Oryzias latipes: one gene and its partners. The protein of the gene in region 2 interacts with the protein of the main gene of each other region in a pairwise test. Links are inferred from orthologs where the notes say so. Each region holds a gene or a part of one and is shown on either strand. Other genes may lie near its edges.

Region 1 (4,594 bases), on a different chromosome or scaffold from region 2:
TTTATATGCATACTTTAATTAAAGAGTCAATTGTTTAAACAGGAACAATTCAAATGTTTAAAACTAATTTTTAGGAAAGATACATTTCAGGTTAGGAGGCTTTTTCATCATTTAGTGTATCTATCTGTGTTTTGGCTTCCTCCTTGTTTGTGTCTCACACTTGACTCCCACCAGTCAGACGTGTTATCTCTGCTTCAAAATGGCCCCTGGCAGATTAAAGGCAGATTTCCCACGTGAGACCACCGGGGGGCGTTGTACTACCAGCTGCTGCTGCATCACAGGACAGCTTTGACAGAAGCTCCGGAGAGCAACCAGTAAACCCAAACTGGAAAGTCCTTGAGTTTTTCCCTTTTCTCTGTAGCACCAGTCTGCATTCAATCCTGGAACGTGGAATGTTTTTACCTCACTTTTCCAAAACTCCAATCCTTTTCACTGAAGAATTGGACCGTTCGTCTGCTCTGTTTTGATATCAACTCCTGCTGTGAGGAGCCAGGAAATCAGAGTTCTTCATCATTTCAAACATCCTGATTACTTTGGAGTCGCTGTGCGGAACCTGGGGATTACCAAAGAATGGAGCCTTTTAGTTGCAGCAACATTTTTTAAATGTGTTTGTGTAATTCTCCAGATTTACCAATCAAGGCTGGATTATTCTAGATCACCTGGCATTTTGGGATTTCCGAGTGTGAACCTCGCAGAGCTCTTTTCTCAGATGACTTTCTTCTCCTCTACTTTTCTTAGCTCAAAGTCCTTGTTCCTGGTATTTCCTGGACCAGGAAGGAAGGAAGTATCCAGGAACCAGCTGTGAGTTTGTGTTTGATAAGTCAACACTAGTTCATTTCACCCTGAGTTTAAAGCTCTTGTTTGGCATCTTATCAATTGTTTTTCTTCTTACCAAGTTGCATTGTTTTTTTATTAACATGTCATTTTCCTGCTGTGGTTTAATTGTTGATTTCTGTTCTTGCATCTTTTTGTGAAAGTCCCAGTAAAGTGCCACAATACTACATTTATCCAATATTCGATAGGATCTGTACTCATGTTACCGATGTAAGGGATTTATATATACATTTCTTGTTGTTTTCTACTTGGCATATTTCCACTTTAATTGGCTGGGACCAGATCAACAAATTTGAATTCACCCTGTGGTTAAATAATACCAAATAAAATCCTTGAATGCTTGAATTCCAGATTAATGTATTGTCATTTATTTCACTCATAGTATTTGCAGAGGAATACACAGGTGAGACCAGATGTTTTTCCTCACTAATATGACAGTGCAAAAGAAAATATAGCAATAAAATAGAATAAAATAGCAATCAACTAAAATAAAATGTCAAAAAAATAGAAACCAGCATTCAATCCTTAAAGTTAGTATCTGCATTTAGCAGCAGTATATATTGTGTCTTTGGGTGGTGCAGAGGGTGGGGGTAGTTTATTGGGTCTGATTGCGGTGTGGAGTTTGTGAGAGCATGTATGCAGGAGGAGGACAGTCTATGTAGCAGTCTCACTGCTTGTGAAAAGAAGATTTTACTATCCCGCTGGATCTGCTGCTGATACTCTTGAACCTTTTCCCAGATGGCATAAGGAAGAACACCCCATGACAGAGAAGCGGAGGGTCCCTAATGAGGAAGCTTACTCTGCGTATGGTGGTATGGGCTCCAACAATCTCGCTGACCGGTTGTTGGTCCTGAACCTTGCAGCTGCCAAACCAGCATGTAAGGCTCTGTGTCAACACGTTTTCATTGGTGCCGTTGTAGAAGGTGATGAGGCGAGGTGTTGGAATTCCTGCCTTCTTGAGTCTCTGGAGGGGATGGAGGCTTTTGTGCTTTTCTGGTGGTCATTTTGGAGTTGGAGGAGTGGAGTTGGAGTGAGATGCACCCCCAGGAACTTCTCCACAGCAACACCATTTATGGTCGGATGTGTGTTGTGGTAATTGCCAGATGCCCTGAAGTCGATCACCATTGATCTGGAGATTATGTCATTCACACCACACTGCTAGCTGCCCCACCTCCATTCTGTAAGCAGACTCATCATTGTCGTTTATGAGACCAATTACTGTTGTGCCGTCCGTAAATTTGACAATGTGGTTGGTGCTGTACCTAGCTGTGCAGTCATGCGTGAGCAGACTGAACAGCAGTGGGCTCAGGACACACCCTTGTGGTGTGCCTGTGCTCGATGACATGGGCCTTGATGTGTGTGTTGATCTTGACTGTCTGCAGCCCGTCTGTCAGTAAACTCAGCATCCAATTGCAGATTGCCTTCAGCTTCTCCACCAGTTGCTGTGGAATGATGGTGTTAAAAGCCGAGCTGAAGTCGATGAAGAGGACTCTAGCATAGGTGTTTTTCCTCTCCAGATGTGACAGGATCAGGTGGAGAGCAGTGGAGATGGCATCTTCAGTAAATCTATTTACTGAAGATGCAAGTTGTAAAGGGTCCATATTTATTGGAAGACTCTTCTTGATGTGCTTCAGAACCAAGCGCACAAGACATTTGGTCACAATGGGTGTGAAGGCCACGGGGCAAAATACGTTTGGATCAGACATCTTTGGGACTGGAGTAATGACAGCAGTTTAAAGACAGGTGGGTATAAATTCCTGTCTGAGTGATGTGTTAAAGATCTCGCTGAATAAATCTTTCAATTGCTCCATGCAGTCTTTCAGAGCCTGTCCAGGGATGTTGTCCGGGCCAGCCGCTTTGCGGTTGATGGCTGTAATGCTGTGTTGCTGGATCACAGCAGCAGCATCTGTGCCTGGATGGTGCTGTAAACATCAAACCATGCGTAGAAGTTGTTCAGTTCCTCTGGTAACCCTTGTGCTATCCTTGGCACTTTAACATTGGTAGTGGGGTCATCTAGACCCCACAAGACAGTGCGCTAAATTTGTGATCTCGACTGGTGTCCATGGATTACATGAAATCTTTCTGCCTTTATCCACCTTTGTCATGGTAGGGAGAACACGTCAATGTAAGGGTGGGGTCATCTGGACCCCATGGGATAGCACAAGGGGTAAAGGGCGGTTGTTCCGGCATATTGTCTCTTTCTCACACATGAAGTGGCTGTTCAGTTTTTGTGTGTACAGCTTCTTTGCCCCTCTAATCCCCTGTGACAGGTTCGTCCTTGCCAGACTGTACGCTGCTGCATCTCCTTATTTAAAAGCCATGTTCCAAGCTCTCAACAAGGAACAAACGTCTCCTGTTAGTCATGGTTTGCAATTTGATTTCTTCCTGACGGTCTTGACCACTGTCACATCATCCACACATTTCTTAATGTAGTCAATGACGGACACGGTGTGTTCCTTCAGGTTGGTGATATTGTCAAAAGTTGCTGCTGAATCCTTGAGTTTGATTTAACAAAAATGAAAAATAGCCCCTTCAGGAAGACTAAAAACCAACCTGTTGTTCTGGTAAACGCAGAATAAGTCAGTAGATGCTGTAATCTGTAGAACTGATGGCCTCTGTGACAGGTCTTTCAAAGTAAAAGCTGTTCTCAAATTGGTTGCATGAATGAAAATATTTAGATTATTAACTTTGCCTAAAAATTAATAACTTTTCATGGTTGGTGTGGAGCTTTTGCAGAAATCTGTGAGTGAAATTTATAAAACAAAAAAAAAACAACAAGAATATGAATCTAAAAATTATAAAACTGCTTAATTTACACTCACTCACACATATTTTTTTGAATGAGACACACTATATATTGTATGTTTTGGATATTACAAAACCACATTAGACAGTGTTGAGCTTTAAATGTTGATGGTAAAACACGGATCATGGTTTTCCTCTCTGATGTCAATCATTCAAGTCAAATGTACTTCAAAGGTTTTTTGTTCACTGAAACCACTTTGCTTTACAATTTGAAGAGAATTTTTTTAACAAGTTGAAATCAACCAAGCCCATTCAAAGCTGCTTAAAACCAAAAGCATCCAGATGTCTCCTGGACTCCTCCCTGGGGAGGTGTTCCGGGCATTTCCCACTGGGCGGAGACCTGGGAAAGACCCAGGACACGTTTGAGGGACTACGTCTCTCTGCTCGCCTTGGGATTCTCCCAGGGGAGCTGCAGGAAGTGTGTGATGGCTGCCTACGCTGCCACCCCATCAGAGCAGTAACCTCCTGCACCGCACCCTACATATATCCGTTCACTATATCTTTTCGCATATACTTTTAGATTTCTTTTTCACACACACATTTGAACATAAAATTGATTAACACGTTTCAGCTTACTTTATTATAATTTGCTTCATTAATTTGATGTTATGCTTTGAGTTACCAGTGCTGAGGGAACCAGGCCTGACACAAGAATGCATGCCAGTCAGCAGAGGCCTGATATTCAGCACTAAACCATCGGCCAGGGGACAATAAATTATCTTGTGTTGCTTTACTTTAGTTTCTATTTTGATGCTCTTTATTTTCATTCATTTGTGTATGTTAATTTACCACAGGATGGATATTAGTTTAGTTTGCTTGCTGTATTTTGTCTTAGTCTTTTTAAGTTCCCCCTTGTGTGTCTAGTTGGTCTGATCAGTCACTATATATGTTCCATTGTGTTTTCAATGAGGTAGGTCAGTTTAAGTAAGTTATCCTTTGTCAAATTCAAAGCTTG
Region 2 (4,228 bases):
GAGTTTCCTGTTCTTCTTCTTGCAGATCAAATGACGAGAACAGCAGCCTCTGTCAGAAGAGACTAAGACACCAGGTGAGAAAAGATCTTCATCTCACCTGATAAAAGCTCTGCTCCAAACATTTAAAGACACAATGACCTGCTTCATCTGATGATGATTTCCAAGGTGATCGTGTCCGAGAGCGCATCCCCGCTCCTCGGAGCAGAGGGATCCGAGAGCTCCACCCACAGAGCGGATGATGACAGCTTGTCTGCAGAAAATCTAGACTGTGCACCTCATGGTAACGGCATGTTCACAAACAGGAGAAAATAACGTCGAAACTCCACTTTGAACTCAAATCTGTTCGTCCTGCTAGACGCCAGAACACAGAGCAACCACTCTCCATCACCACGACCCCTCACTGACACCTCCAACCCTGCCAGCTGGAGCCGCCATCTCATACAGCAGACCTTAATGGACGAAGGGCTGCGATTGGCCAGGATGGTGTCACATGATCGAGCAGGAAAGCTGGGTCTTGGGTTAGAAGGTCCTCACACAACAGGTGACTTTTCAAAATTTGGTTTTACCTATAAAGGACTCAGAATAAATGTGTATAAACCCAGAGAACTACGAGCAATTTTCTTCTGGATTTTTAAAGTTAATATGACCTTTGTTTTTTTTTTGCTTAATTATTTTGAATAGCAGCAATAAGCAAAAAAACAAACTGGGGCTAAATACGACCCAGGGTTAAATATTTCCATGTTGTTTAAGAAATGAAGTTATGGCCGACAAATGTGAACAAAAACATGAATCATATGATCTAATACACATGAAATAAACGGTATTTCTAAAATGTCAAGGCGGGTTGAATACTAAAGGTGGTTCAGGTGAAGCAGGTTTACTCTGACAGACAGGCCGACCTTTCTAAACAATGTTTATTTAGTAGTTGTGCAGTTTCAGGCTCAGTGAGTCACAATCTCTCTGAGGTGACACCTCCCACCACGGGCAGCTGAACTCCACCAGACTGTAAATTAGAGGATATTTTCTATGGAGGGGGGGCAAGAGGAGGTGGAGAAAAAAAGAGTGTGACAAGCAGGATAGAAAGAGTAAGGGGGGGGGGGGGGGTGTTACACTGTAATAGCAGCTCTTGGGGCGGCTGTTACTTCAGTGCAGCATCACAGAAAAGTGAACGTTTGGAGGAAGTTGTTCTGGGCTGAAGAGATGCAGTGAAGAAGGCACAGACGTTAAAGGAAGGGGGGGTAGGAAGTACTCTGTGGGCGACAGAATTACCCCCCCCTCCCCATCCTTCACCATGTGATTGACGTCAGAGTGTGTTAGGCGCGTGGGCTGAAGGGCGGGAGGGATGGGGCGTGGGGGCGACGGAGTGGGCGGTAATTGGAGGGGCGTTGCATTGACTCACCAAGCGACAGCGTACAAAAATAAAACCCGTGGGCAGAAAAATGGCACATTCTTCCTTATACGTCTTCTTCTACCTAAAGAACTGTGGAAATAAAATAAAACTGACATATGCTTCATCTTTGGCATCCATCTGCCTGCCTCCCTGTCAGGTTTCGGTCACCTCATCACCCCTTCAAGTTTCTATCGTTTATCTGAACTTTTTCCTTCCAACGTCACTTTTTCCAGCCAAAAAAATGTCTTTTATCTTCCTATATTTTATATTTTTATCTTTAGAAGCTTTGACTTTTGTTTTAAATGTTTTTGTTGATGTCAGCAAGAGAACATGTGTTTTAAACAGGAACTTTCAGAATAAAATAAAGGGAAGTAATAACTTTTGGTGCAGTTTGATCCAAAACAGTGAAATACTTGTAAAAAATGTGTTTTTATTTCTTGATGCTCATGCAGTGAAATGACAGACATTGTTTGTAAATGCACACTCAAACATCCGCGTTTGCTTAATTAATGGTTTTCCTGCTTGATCATCCAAAGATTCATTTAACTCTGCAATAAGGGAAGCAGTTAGTTATGCTGTTTGTGTAAACAGTGATTTCACTTCGTGTAGGAGTTCTTCCTGTTCTTTCACCCAAACCATCTTTCAGAGCTCCTAAAATACGGGTTACGTCCTGATTACCTCTGAACTGGCACTTATCCTCTTCCTCCCGGGGGTTCATTCGGTCCCCTTCGTCACAGCAGATTTCCACATTGATCAGGTCTTTGACATTAATTGTCCTTTCTATTCTTGAAATCTTTAGACCATGACAGTAAACCGGAGCGGCAGAGTTTGTTAACGGCGTGTAGGAGCAGTAGCCCCTGTGTCACCAAAGACTCACCCACCAGCTGCCACCCCCGGGGGAAATGAAGCGCTCTGCACTCATCGGGGAACTTGTGTTTGGGCGTCCACTCTAATCCCGCCGTCCCACGGAGAGGTGCAACTCGTCCTTCGCCGACGTGCGGCGGACAGGGGCTTTCAATTCAAGTCAAAACAGTAAATGTGAGAATTTACCAGCATCACATGTTGTTGACAAATGATGCAAATTTGATGTTTTAATATGTAGAAGGATAGTAAACACTTATCAGGTTTGAGTTCACTAATTTAGCCATTCAAAGAGGGAATCGTAGACGTTTGGCGGTTCCAGCTGCTCGACACGACACCGAAAGGTTTTTCAGTCACTTTCAGCATGTAACTTGTAATGTCTTTACTCTCAGGAAACACATTGATGTTCTGTTCTTGTTAGAGGTCAGTGTAGTGAGCTCAGGTTAATCTATGTAGTCATTTAGAAAAAGAAGTATTTGGACCAGACATATAAAAAACAGCACAAAGATCAGAGGTTTTTGGTTCTGCACTTGCCTTTTCAAACACACTTAGGTTAATAAAATTGCCAGGCCATCCTTCCTTTTCACGGTCGTTTTACTCCCATCTTCAGTTAAACCAGGGATGTCCAAACCTTTTGCAAAGAGGGCCAACAATTCACCCTGAACGATTTTAATAACTTTAAATGCAAATTAACTATTTATGAATATTTTATTGCATTGGCATACTTTCCATTTCTTCATATTGAAAAGAAAACACATCTAGATAGGTTTTTACCTAAATTACTGCCAATTTGTCCACTTTTGGCACAGTTTATTCCCAATTAGCTTGTTGTAGATAGCATAGTTAGTCCCTTTTCATATTGAACCCCTTGACAACAGTCACAGTCTCTTGGTATATTAGCCACACACGGTTGTTTCATATTTCACAAAATTTTTTTGCTAATTTCCCGTCTGACTGGAAGTCGTGTCCCTCACCGTCAACTTTTAAAAGAATGTAGAATTGACATTTTAGAAATAATTAGAAGGTGTCACAGAAGGGTCCCACCACAGTACCCCAACCAGTTTACAACGGGTTACAACTAATTTAGCCGACCACAATCAAGAAAGTTTTTTGAAAATATTATTGAGTTTATGACAGGAGCATGTGTTTGGCTTAAGGGTTGGACTTTGGACATGCCTGACTTAATCAAAGTGGGTTTTTTTCTTAGAAAACTATCTACTGCTTCTTGTTTAACCCTTGTGCTATCCTAGGCACTTTAACATTGGGCGTTGGGTCATCTAGATCAGTGTTTTTCAACCTTTTCTGAGCCACGGCACACTTTAACCTTAAAAAAATCCCGCGGCACACCAGCATCCAAAAAAAAAAAAAAAGGAGAAACTCAGTCTATATTGATCTACAACCCCTCCCTCCACAGTCTCACATGCATTTTTGAGATAATTGTTGCAGAAAAAGCTGGAAACTGCAGCTGTTTTTTTCTAAAAGATGCAATAAAAGTTAAGTTAGAAGATTTAAAAACAGTTTGAAGTGTGTTCGTTGGTTTCAAGACGTTTAACAACAGATATCCTTGTGCTCACAACCCAATGCATCATGGGAGATGTAGTGCATAAAACGGCCGGCGGAGATCGCTTTTCGGAGCTTCATTGTTTTGTTCACTTGTTCCACGGTCTGATACCGGACTCTGTGGAAAGCTACACCGCTAAAGACGAGCTTTAGCTGGTATTTTTGTTAGAACTGAGCGACTTTACGAGCTAGATCGGGACAAGGAAGTGAAGACTTTAACCACTTCTGATTGGTCAGACTGATGACATGTGATTAAGCTCCCCAAGAATGATTGGTGGAGACAGTTAAAGCAACGGGACTATTCCAAAAAACAGCCGGAGCTGCAGCTGAATCGTGGTAACGTCATTCTTATCAAAATGTCTTTAATAAAATTAAAAAAGAAACGCAAAGAAAAAGTATTTTACGATCTTTTATATT
Region 3 (4,645 bases), on a different chromosome or scaffold from region 2:
CATTCCTTTTAAAAGAAAAACACTACAAATTATAATTTTTGGTAATGACCATCAATCAACTTAGATATTCATTCATCTTTTCTGTGTTTTCCCTTTCTGGGTCACAGGGTTGCCAGAGCCTATCCAGCCACTTGTGGGCAAAGGCAGGAGGCACCCTGGACAGGTCACCAGTCTGTTGCAGGGTAGAGTGTCCACAATCACACACCCAGGCTCACTCCCATTCACACCTAGGGACAATTTAGATTTAGATTAACCTATGAAGCATGTTTTTGGACAGTGGGAGGAAGCTGGAGTCCCTCGAGAAAACCCACACATGCAAGGGGAGAACATGCAAACTCCACACAGTGTCAACAATGTCCCCTGTTGTTGTTGTTGTTGTTCTGTTTTCAGGTGCCCCAGGTGGGACTTGAACAGAGAGCCTTCTTGCTGTGAGGCAAGACTGCTAACCACTGCGCCACCTTGCAGCCCAACTTGGATAATGCTCTTAAGATTTTTGAATATTTGTTAGTTTAGAAGTTTAGGTTGAGTCTAAATGCTACAACATGTACATAGATTTTATCCTAATTTGATAAGATTTTTCTTACTGTTAGTGTTCATTGTTTATATCAGTGTTTATCGAAAGAAATTATTAGTCAAGGAAAGGTAAATTGACAGAACTCATTAAACAAGCATAGATAAGACTTATCCATATAAATATCACACAAACAGTAAAAAATATGTCAGTACACAAGACTGGAAAATTAAGGGGAAAATGCTTTAATTGATTCATTTTTGTAGCACATGATTTTTCAGCTTTGGTATACAGTTATAAAGGAAAAAATAGATATATTATGTGGGAAAAACACTATTTCTATCACATGCGACTTTTTAATTTCAATCCTAATATAGTGATGCTATCCAGTGCTTATTAAGTACAGCTTAACAGGGGTGTAATTATTTAAGTTTACTTCCTCCTTCTGATTTTCAAGCAATTAAACTCTTCCTGACACTCTTCACTTTTAATGAATGGAATGTGTCATGTACTGTATGGATGAATGCAAATTGATCTATTTAAGATTGAGAGTCAATATAATGGCATCATTTATATGTGTATCCTCTTTCACTTTTTAGTTTTTTACTTTCCAATTTGATTATGACTCATCATCTTAGGTTTGGTAATTCTATATGTTATATGCCGTGTATTTATATACTCTGATCCCTTGAAATAAGCCAGTTTCAACCCAAAAATTCAAAAGAAATTATTTTAGGATTGGCTTGAAGCAGATAACATGACAAGCAGATGTAAACAGGTAAAAAACCTAAATGTCCATCATCAGTCAGAGCTAAAGAAGCTATTCAGATCAGCTGCCAAACATAATCTAGATCAACTTTTAAGGCTACCAAAACATCTACTATTACTAAAAATAAACATTTCAATATAACGTTGAGACAAATTTAAATTTATAAATATGTTTAGTAACTTAAACAAAGATGGAGGTCACATTTAGTTGAGCAGGAATGGGATTATTTCAAAACACTGCAGCTCGGAAAAAAGAAAAAAGAAATCACAGAAGTAAAAAAAGTAAATAAACAAACACACAAACAAACAAACAAATAGATAAATAAAGTAATTAAAAAAATGTACATATCTATTGCCTAATAATTTGAATATAACTTTTTATTCACCGTTAGAACAAGCTGGACAAACTAAAACGGTGGTAATTTTGTATAATAGGATAATAAAATATTAGTAAATCCTTAGTAAAATAAAAACCAACAAGTTAACTGTAAATTTCGATAGATACACTTACAAAACACGTTTTTACATTGCATCAGAAATGTGAGCATCCGCAGAAAGGCCGTTGTGATTTATATTTAGTACTCATTGTGACCAGCAGGGGGCAGTAACTACAGCGCATCGATAAATCCAGTAGAAGAAGAAAAAAGCAGACGAAGAAGACGACAGTGACGGTTGGCTTCCGCGAGCGGTGAGTTTCTCGTTCCATAATTTTGAAGGCATTTTTGTCAATCTATTTAAAGTACAGTTTAGAAATGTCCACATAAATCCTCGGGTATTATATGCTAGACTGTTGACACAGAATGCTACAGGAATTATTAGCTAAAAATGAACCAAATCCAATGAAGAACACGCGCGAATCTAAAAGAAATACAGTAAAAAGAAAAAAAAACGATTATAAAAACAACATTTCTGCGATAATAGATGAACGACTTCTGTTTGTTTAATTCGGCGCGGAGAAATGAAGGATTGAGTGAAAATAAAGTAATTTTACAAGCTAATAAACAGTCATAATTCCTACAAATATAAATAATAATTTTTTAAAATTATAAAGTAAACCATGAGTGGTCACACGACAACATATTCACAAATAAAACTGCCACAATATGACAATAGAAAACAGCTTACAACAACATCTTAATTTAACCAAACTGTAATGTATTGAAATATGAGGTTAATCTTTGAAATCCCTCTGATTCAAAAGGCTTCAGGTCAAAGGTCACAGCAGACAAACAACTCCGTCCCGTCTCTGTTTTTATGTTTATTTATCTCCCAGTCAGACAATAGTAAGAAATAAAGCTGTGCAGACCTTCAGACTGAGAAGGAGCTGGACTACTGTGATGACGCACAGGCCCTATCAGGAAGAGATAAACAGACACAAGCCCACCCAGCTCCCCCACCCCAGACACGCCCACCCGCCTGTCCGTCAGCACGTCCGCGTCCTGAAATGATTTTGGGTTTGATCCGTGTACAGGAATCTCTGAACGTGTAGAAAATCGGGATTTTGACTTCTTTTCCGATCTTCACATTTAGGAAAGAAATCGTTTTTTGTTTGTTATTTTTAATCTAAAAGTCATTTGGATAAAGAAATCCTCAGAATAAACTCAGTTTTCTTTCTATACGTCATCATCATCAACGGAAAAATGCCACAAGGACAAGTTTAAAACAAGATTTTCATCAGAAAGGGTCCTTAAACTGTCCTTTATAAACCTGGAGTAAATACATTAAAACACACAAACCAAGAATTTAAAGCAAATATTGAACTTATACTGGTTTAAACGATAAGACATCGACATTCCTCAACAAACCAGAACATTATGAGCAAATTCAGATTCAGCCGATGGACTGGAACGTTTTTTATTTTAATGATGTATTTACAGGGCTCCGTAAGTTATTTTTTGGAAATGTGGGGAGTGTATAGCAGTTAAACATCTAATCGTGTTATTTTTTCTGTGTTTTTTACATAAACATTCATAAATACTTTTAAAAAATGCTGTTTTTGTGTGTTTCAGGGGGACAATGAGGTTCCTGATGGTGTTTGATTTCGACCACACTCTGGTGGATGAAAACAGCGACCTGTGGGTGGTCAGGTCGGTCACCAAAGGCTTCCTTTTCTGTAAACTGGAGGAGAACATTCTGTTTCATGATGTCTTCTTTGTCCTCAGGTGTCTTCCGGACGGGCGCCTTCCTGCCTCCATCGAGAATTCCCACCGGGGGGGTCTCTGGATGGAGTACATGTGCAGGGTGATGAAGTTCATCGGTGAGCGCCGGCCGTGCCGCTCGTCCGGCGCTCCGCGTCTTTGGTTTCTGACCTCGGCTTGTCTTTGCGCGCAGGAGATCAGGGTATCGGCCCGGACCGCATCCGGAGCGTGATGGAGACCATCCCCTTCGCCGACGGCATGGCGGACCTGCTGGCGTTTATTTCGGAGAACAAAAGCGCCGTGGACTGCATCGTCATCTCAGACGCCAACTCCTTGTTCATAAACTGGGTTCTGCAGGCTGCCGGGCTTGGCGAGGCGGTCGATAAAGTTTTCACCAACCCGGCGGCGTTCAACGAGGCGGGGCACATGGAGGTGCGCCGCCATCACTCTCACGACTGCAGCGAGTGCCCCCCCAACATCTGCAAGAGGAAGGTCTTGGAGCGGTACCTGTCCGAGCGGGCCGAGGAAGGCGTGCGGTACGAGCGCGTCTTCTACGTGGGCGACGGTAGCAACGACCTGTGCCCCTCCTTCTGCTTGAGAGCGCAGGACGCCGTGATGCCCCGCCGGGACTTCACGCTGCTGAAGCTGCTGGCCCGGCTGGAGGCCCAGCCGGGAGAGATCTCGGTGGCGGCCAAAGTGGTTCCCTGGAGCAGCGGCGCCGACGTCCTGCAGGAGCTCAAAGCAAGCATGCAGTCCGAATAACGGAGCAGAAGAAGTCCTGGAGGCAGCGCTCCGTCCAGAACCGAGCAGAAGAAGTCCTGGAAGAAGCGCTCCGTCCAGAACCGAGCAGAAGAAGTCCTGGAAGAAGCGCTCCGTCCAGAACTATGCTCTACAATTTGAAGCACATTTATTGTCGCCAGGTTCTGAGAAGGGATCATTTATTTGTTGGGAATTTTACATTTTTGACCAGCTGAGTGATCCGACTCTGAGTTTCCAGAGGGAAATTAGCTCTAAACAACCTTATGCTCATTTCTAGAAAGGATTGTTGCTTGAAAAGAGCTGATTTATTCAGTCTTCCTGCAGCTTCTAAAAAAAAAAAAAAAGAATTTTAGTTTTATGGGAAAAAAAATGATTAAAAAAGAAAAATGTAAATCAGAAAAAAAACTTTTTTTGACTTTTAAAATCAGCTTTTGCAGAATCAAAGATGGGAGCAGACAAACTTAAAATA
Region 4 (4,413 bases), on a different chromosome or scaffold from region 2:
TGCAGGTGTACACGGAGTCCTCCGTCACCTTCCCGTACGCCATGCTGGTGCTCTGAAAGGACACGAAAAGTCTTTCCTCTCTGCTGGAGAACATCCCGGCAGGAGGAGTGAGGAGGTCCCACCTGCAGGACGTTCAGCGACCTCCTCATGTCGCCGGACGATAAAGTCACGATGGCCTTCATCCCATCCTCGGTGATGTCGATGCTACCAGACAAGATTCAGCTCATTAAAGGCCAAAAGGAAGTTTAAAGAGGAAAATTATTATGATCAGCGCTATGCATTTAAAGCTTATTTTTACAGATAAATCCTGTACTAGACGTCTGCATCTCATGGACGGATCACAACATCTTATTGCCCTAAAACGCAGCAAAAACATGGCACTAGCTTGAGCGGGAGGCGCACAAACACAGTTTGGTAAAGTCTGAAGGATATTTGGACTTCTAGGTTTCAAAATTCTTTTAATTAACATTTGAAACTGACAGCAAGTGTCTCTATTGGTTTGTCTTAACGTAAACGATGACCTTTAAAGAAAAATGCGATGTGTTTTTCAAATACGGAGAATTAAAGAGAGAAACGGCAGTGAAAAGAGCTGCTAAGGGACCGTCTACAAAAAGAAAGCTCTGTGAAAAAGTGATCAGAAGATAATAAACTCTCAAAAACAACACAAATACATAAATGGTTCTGTTTATATAAGTTAAGTCATAAATACTCATCATATTCATGCCTTTTAAAAAAATGGGTATTTCTTTTTCCCAAAGTAAAAAAAAAAAAATCACATCTGATCCAAAAAGCTCTGAAGAGCCAAAGCTACAGTCACCAAACTTTCTCACATGACTAATTATCAACTATTTTTACCAGTTAATAGTTTGTTATTTTTTCTAGTTGATGGTTGCACTATTTGTACTTAATTGTTCACAGAGGTGCTCTTTTTCTGACAAAATAAAGGGGGAATAGAATAAAAACGGGAAAACCTGCATTTGTTTATTCAACTTTTAAAATGTGTTATAAAAGTATTGGAGCGAGACTCGGGTATCAGCATAAAAAAACGTGAAATCGGATCAAAAAAAGAAAAAAAGAAAACTGAGAGATTCTTAATGAAAAGCTTAAAAAGCGATGAATGCGAATGGCAGAAACGAGAATGTAAAGTTTTTCATTCCATTTATAGTCCTAATTTTTCAAAAATCCTTTGAAAGCATCTTTTCATGTCAACATCACAGTCGTTTTTAATGCTTCTGACAGACTCAGAAAGTGAGAGACTTCAGAGGCCGAAAGCGGTCCCGGTTTTCCTCACCTCTCCTCCTGAATGACGTGCCTCAGCCGGGGGATCATCTGGTCCGCCGACAGAGGCCCGAAGCGGAACCTGGTGCACCGGGACTGCAGGGCGGGGATGATCTTGGAAAGGTAGTTGCAGATGAGGCAGAACCGGGTGTTTTCTGTGAACTTCTCAATCACTGAGGCGTACGGGAGACAGCAGGAAGTTTACAAAAATAAAAAGACAGACTGTTACCTGCCAAAACGTTAGTTCAATGGGATAAAGTTACTTAAAATCGTCTTATTTTGAAAATCTGCAAACATCTTAATTCGTTTATGAGATCGTTGACGATAACCTACTTTCAACACCTATGAAAAAAAAAATTTTAATCAACAAAATCAATGCAAAGGATTATTTTAGAAAACGGTTGTGTTTTCATGCAGACCCATGCATCATCAGCCAAATGATTTGGCTGCCCAGTGAGCCGTGTCGCTCACAGCAAGCCATACTTAGGCGAACAGATGGCTCACCTCGCCGCAATGCATTCTGGGCATCCTGGGTCATGGCATCGGCCTCGTCCAGGATCACCAGCTTGAAGCCTTTCCTGGGGATCAAAGGGAGGAAAAAGGAGTTTGGAGTTGTCTGGAGGGAATCTCTGCAGAAGGTCACAGAGAGCTGGAGCGGTACCGACTCACTTGAAGATGGTTCTGGTGCTGGCAAAACTCAGGATGGGACCTCGGACCACATCGATACCCCTGTCGTCTGAAGCATTCAGCTTGAACAGAAGAGAATCAGAATCAGGACCCTTGGAGATGAGAAAATCCCTGCAGACTAAAGATCCTGAGTGGAGACGGTACCTCCAGCACCATGGAGTTGAACTCCTTGTCCTTGTACAGTTGCCGGGCACAGGCCAGAATGGTGGAGGTCTTTCCGGTTCCAGGAGGCCCGTAGAGCAGGAGGTGAGGAAGCCGGTCCTCTCTGACGAACCTCTGGACTGAAGAGACATGGAGACCTTCAGAACTCTGGACACCACAGAGTCGATTTGCTTCCTTAAATGAACAAACTTACTGGTGCTCAGGATGTCTCTGTGTGAAATTAAATCATCGAGTTTTTGTGGTCTATATTTTTCTACCCTGAAATGCAAAACAAACACTTTTAGCACAAAAACAAAGACGTTGTTTAGTAGAATATTTCTTTTTTTCCCTTCTTTTTAAGAAGTGTGTAGGCCTTTAAAAAGCTGAACAAACTTAAAAGAAAACAAAACAAAAAAAAAAAGCACAGCCTCTGACTGGAGACAAACAAGAACTTGAAGGAGCAGCTAGCTTAGTCTTAGACAACAACGACATTCTCGCCGCTTCTCAAACGTCTCGTTCGTCGCGGCTCACCATGGCAGGTTTCTGCTCTGTAACGGGGTCCTACTCGTAGACGCCATGACTCCCGGTAACTTTATTTATTAGCCGGGCAAGTAGAGGAAAAACCCCGTCTGTTCTATGTCGCTTCCTTTTGCCGCGCTCGCGACAGAAACGCACGCCAACGTCATGACGTAACACCAACAGAATGTCGTTTTGCTTTCCGGTGGGTGGGATCATGGTGATATGTTGAAGGTAAACTGTAAAAAAAACCACAATATCAATTGAAGAATTTTAATATTTTCTAAAGTAAAGCTTAAAATTGTTTTTTGTTTATTTTATAAACATTTTTGAGTTGATTATCTTGTAAAATAGAAATCTCTGTGTTAGTTTGATATTTATCCGTAGGCGAAAACATTTTTGACCGATTTTCTTGAACATTTCAGAACGAAAATTAATGTGCTGTGGAAATCAGACTAATTTTAAAGATTTGTATAAGACTTTAAAGCATTTAACAGGAAAAAAACAATATTTAATCCCCTGATGTACATACATTTCTATCTAACTTGTGCAATAAGTATTTCGTAAAATAGGTAAATTAAATTAATAGAAAAATACACAAGTTTCTTAATCTGTTTGGTTTTTAATACGTTTCATTTAGAATATACGCTTTAGACGTTAACTATTTAGCTACCTAACCAGGCGACAACCAAAAACAATAAATAAATAAGTAAAACATGCCCCCCCCCCCCCCATTATTTAATAACTTGGGTGAGTACACACAATAAATGTTTTAAAAAATGTTTTCAAATTTTGTTTAACCTTTTAGTTTAACAGGCACTTCGTTTGCATTTTAGTAAGATTGCTGAATTATGTTTAATTTGATGAAATATCACCCTGAAAAATAAAGATCATTTGTCGCAGATGATGCGTTTCTCGTCCAGCAGACGAGAACCCACTTGAGCGCGCCGTGATCACGCGAGAGCGGCCCCTTACGGCGGCGCTGCGATGCTGTTGCTGTGGCTTTGATTGACGGGAAACATGTCGGTGTGGTGGGAGCGAACCGGGATGCAGCTGCTGCCAAGGGAGACAGGGAGTACCTGCATCCAATCCGCACATCAGCACCTTTAAAACCGCCAGGTTCTACCCGATCCGGCTGTTTAGGATGCGCTGAGCAGCAAATTTGGTTCCTTTCCCCCCCTTTTTTTTCTCCCCCCCCCCCCCTTCCTCAGCATCCATTAGAACGGAAAGGACGCCCGATGGATGCTGTAGCAGACCGCTCAGCCCCGCTCCGCATCCTCACATTGAGTTTGGTCTAGTTTACATCCTTGATCATCCAGCTGGAGCTGCGAGGACTGTTGTTGCAATGGAGGCGACCCTCTCACGGCTCAAAGCCAGAGTCTAAGCCTGCAGCATCTCTTTCCACTGCGCTGTGCTGGTTGCTCTTTTCCGCGGGCTCCTCCACGTTTCTTTCTTGAATTATCCTCTTTTTTTAACCCTCTGTTCTTCTTCTTCTTTTTTTGTCTTGGAAATACAAACTAAGGGGAAAAAATACCATCCAGCGCGCGCTAAACTATGAACGAGGAGATGACAAAAAGCGAGGAGCAGCATCTCAGTTTGCAGAAAGCCTTGCAGCAGTGCGAGTTGGTGCAGAACATGATTGACATAAGCATTTCTAGTTTGGAGGGTTTACGGACCAAATGTGCCACATCCAACGACTTGACACAAAAAGAGATCCGAACGCTGGAGGTAAGCGGCTCCCTGACTCAATTACTGCTCTGCATCCTCAACTAAAGCATCACCCAGGGCTGT

What was found.
Region 1: the proteins of NGFI-A-binding protein 2 (region 2) and PHD finger protein 1 interact in binary tests that used the Homo sapiens proteins (3 or more experiments, as listed by UniProt). The two-hybrid records come from large-scale screens. The link is inferred for Oryzias latipes from reciprocal best matches to the Homo sapiens genes NAB2 and PHF1.
Region 3: the proteins of NGFI-A-binding protein 2 (region 2) and pyridoxal phosphate phosphatase PHOSPHO2 interact in binary tests that used the Homo sapiens proteins (3 or more experiments, as listed by UniProt). The two-hybrid records come from large-scale screens. The link is inferred for Oryzias latipes from reciprocal best matches to the Homo sapiens genes NAB2 and PHOSPHO2.
Region 4: the proteins of NGFI-A-binding protein 2 (region 2) and rfc5 interact in binary tests that used the Homo sapiens proteins (3 or more experiments, as listed by UniProt). The link is inferred for Oryzias latipes from reciprocal best matches to the Homo sapiens genes NAB2 and RFC5.

What each region holds. Positions count from the first base shown.
Region 1 is NC_019874.2:28,769,500-28,774,093, reverse strand, and holds the start of PHD finger protein 1, read right to left. Parts: upstream 2,826-4,594; 5' UTR 660-2,825; intron 554-659; 5' UTR 403-553; intron 1-402. UniProt on the Homo sapiens protein: Polycomb group (PcG) that specifically binds histone H3 trimethylated at 'Lys-36' (H3K36me3) and recruits the PRC2 complex. Involved in DNA damage response and is recruited at double-strand breaks (DSBs).
Region 2 is NC_019863.2:27,732,704-27,736,931, reverse strand, and holds the end of NGFI-A-binding protein 2, read left to right. Parts: intron 1-25; coding exon 26-74; intron 75-165; coding exon 166-280; intron 281-355; coding exon 356-541; intron 542-2,189; coding exon 2,190-2,296; 3' UTR 2,297-3,512; downstream 3,513-4,228. UniProt on the Homo sapiens protein: Acts as a transcriptional repressor for zinc finger transcription factors EGR1 and EGR2. Isoform 2 lacks repression ability.
Region 3 is NC_019861.2:34,327,344-34,331,988, reverse strand, and holds the start of pyridoxal phosphate phosphatase PHOSPHO2, read left to right. Parts: upstream 1-1,820; 5' UTR 1,821-1,967; intron 1,968-3,288; 5' UTR 3,289-3,295; coding exon 3,296-3,366; intron 3,367-3,441; coding exon 3,442-3,536; intron 3,537-3,610; coding exon 3,611-4,179; 3' UTR 4,180-4,645. UniProt on the Homo sapiens protein: Phosphatase that has high activity toward pyridoxal 5'-phosphate (PLP).
Region 4 is NC_019867.2:3,441,913-3,446,325, reverse strand, and holds the start of rfc5 (replication factor C subunit 5), read right to left. Parts: upstream 2,826-4,413; 5' UTR 2,685-2,825; coding exon 2,638-2,684; intron 2,386-2,637; coding exon 2,321-2,385; intron 2,247-2,320; coding exon 2,110-2,246; intron 2,028-2,109; coding exon 1,948-2,027; intron 1,857-1,947; coding exon 1,783-1,856; intron 1,452-1,782; coding exon 1,292-1,451; intron 205-1,291; coding exon 123-204; intron 53-122; coding exon 1-52. Other genes in the region: ksr2 (kinase suppressor of Ras 2), read left to right, coding at 4,177-4,350. UniProt on the Homo sapiens protein: Subunit of the replication factor C (RFC) complex which acts during elongation of primed DNA templates by DNA polymerases delta and epsilon, and is necessary for ATP-dependent loading of proliferating cell nuclear antigen (PCNA) onto primed DNA.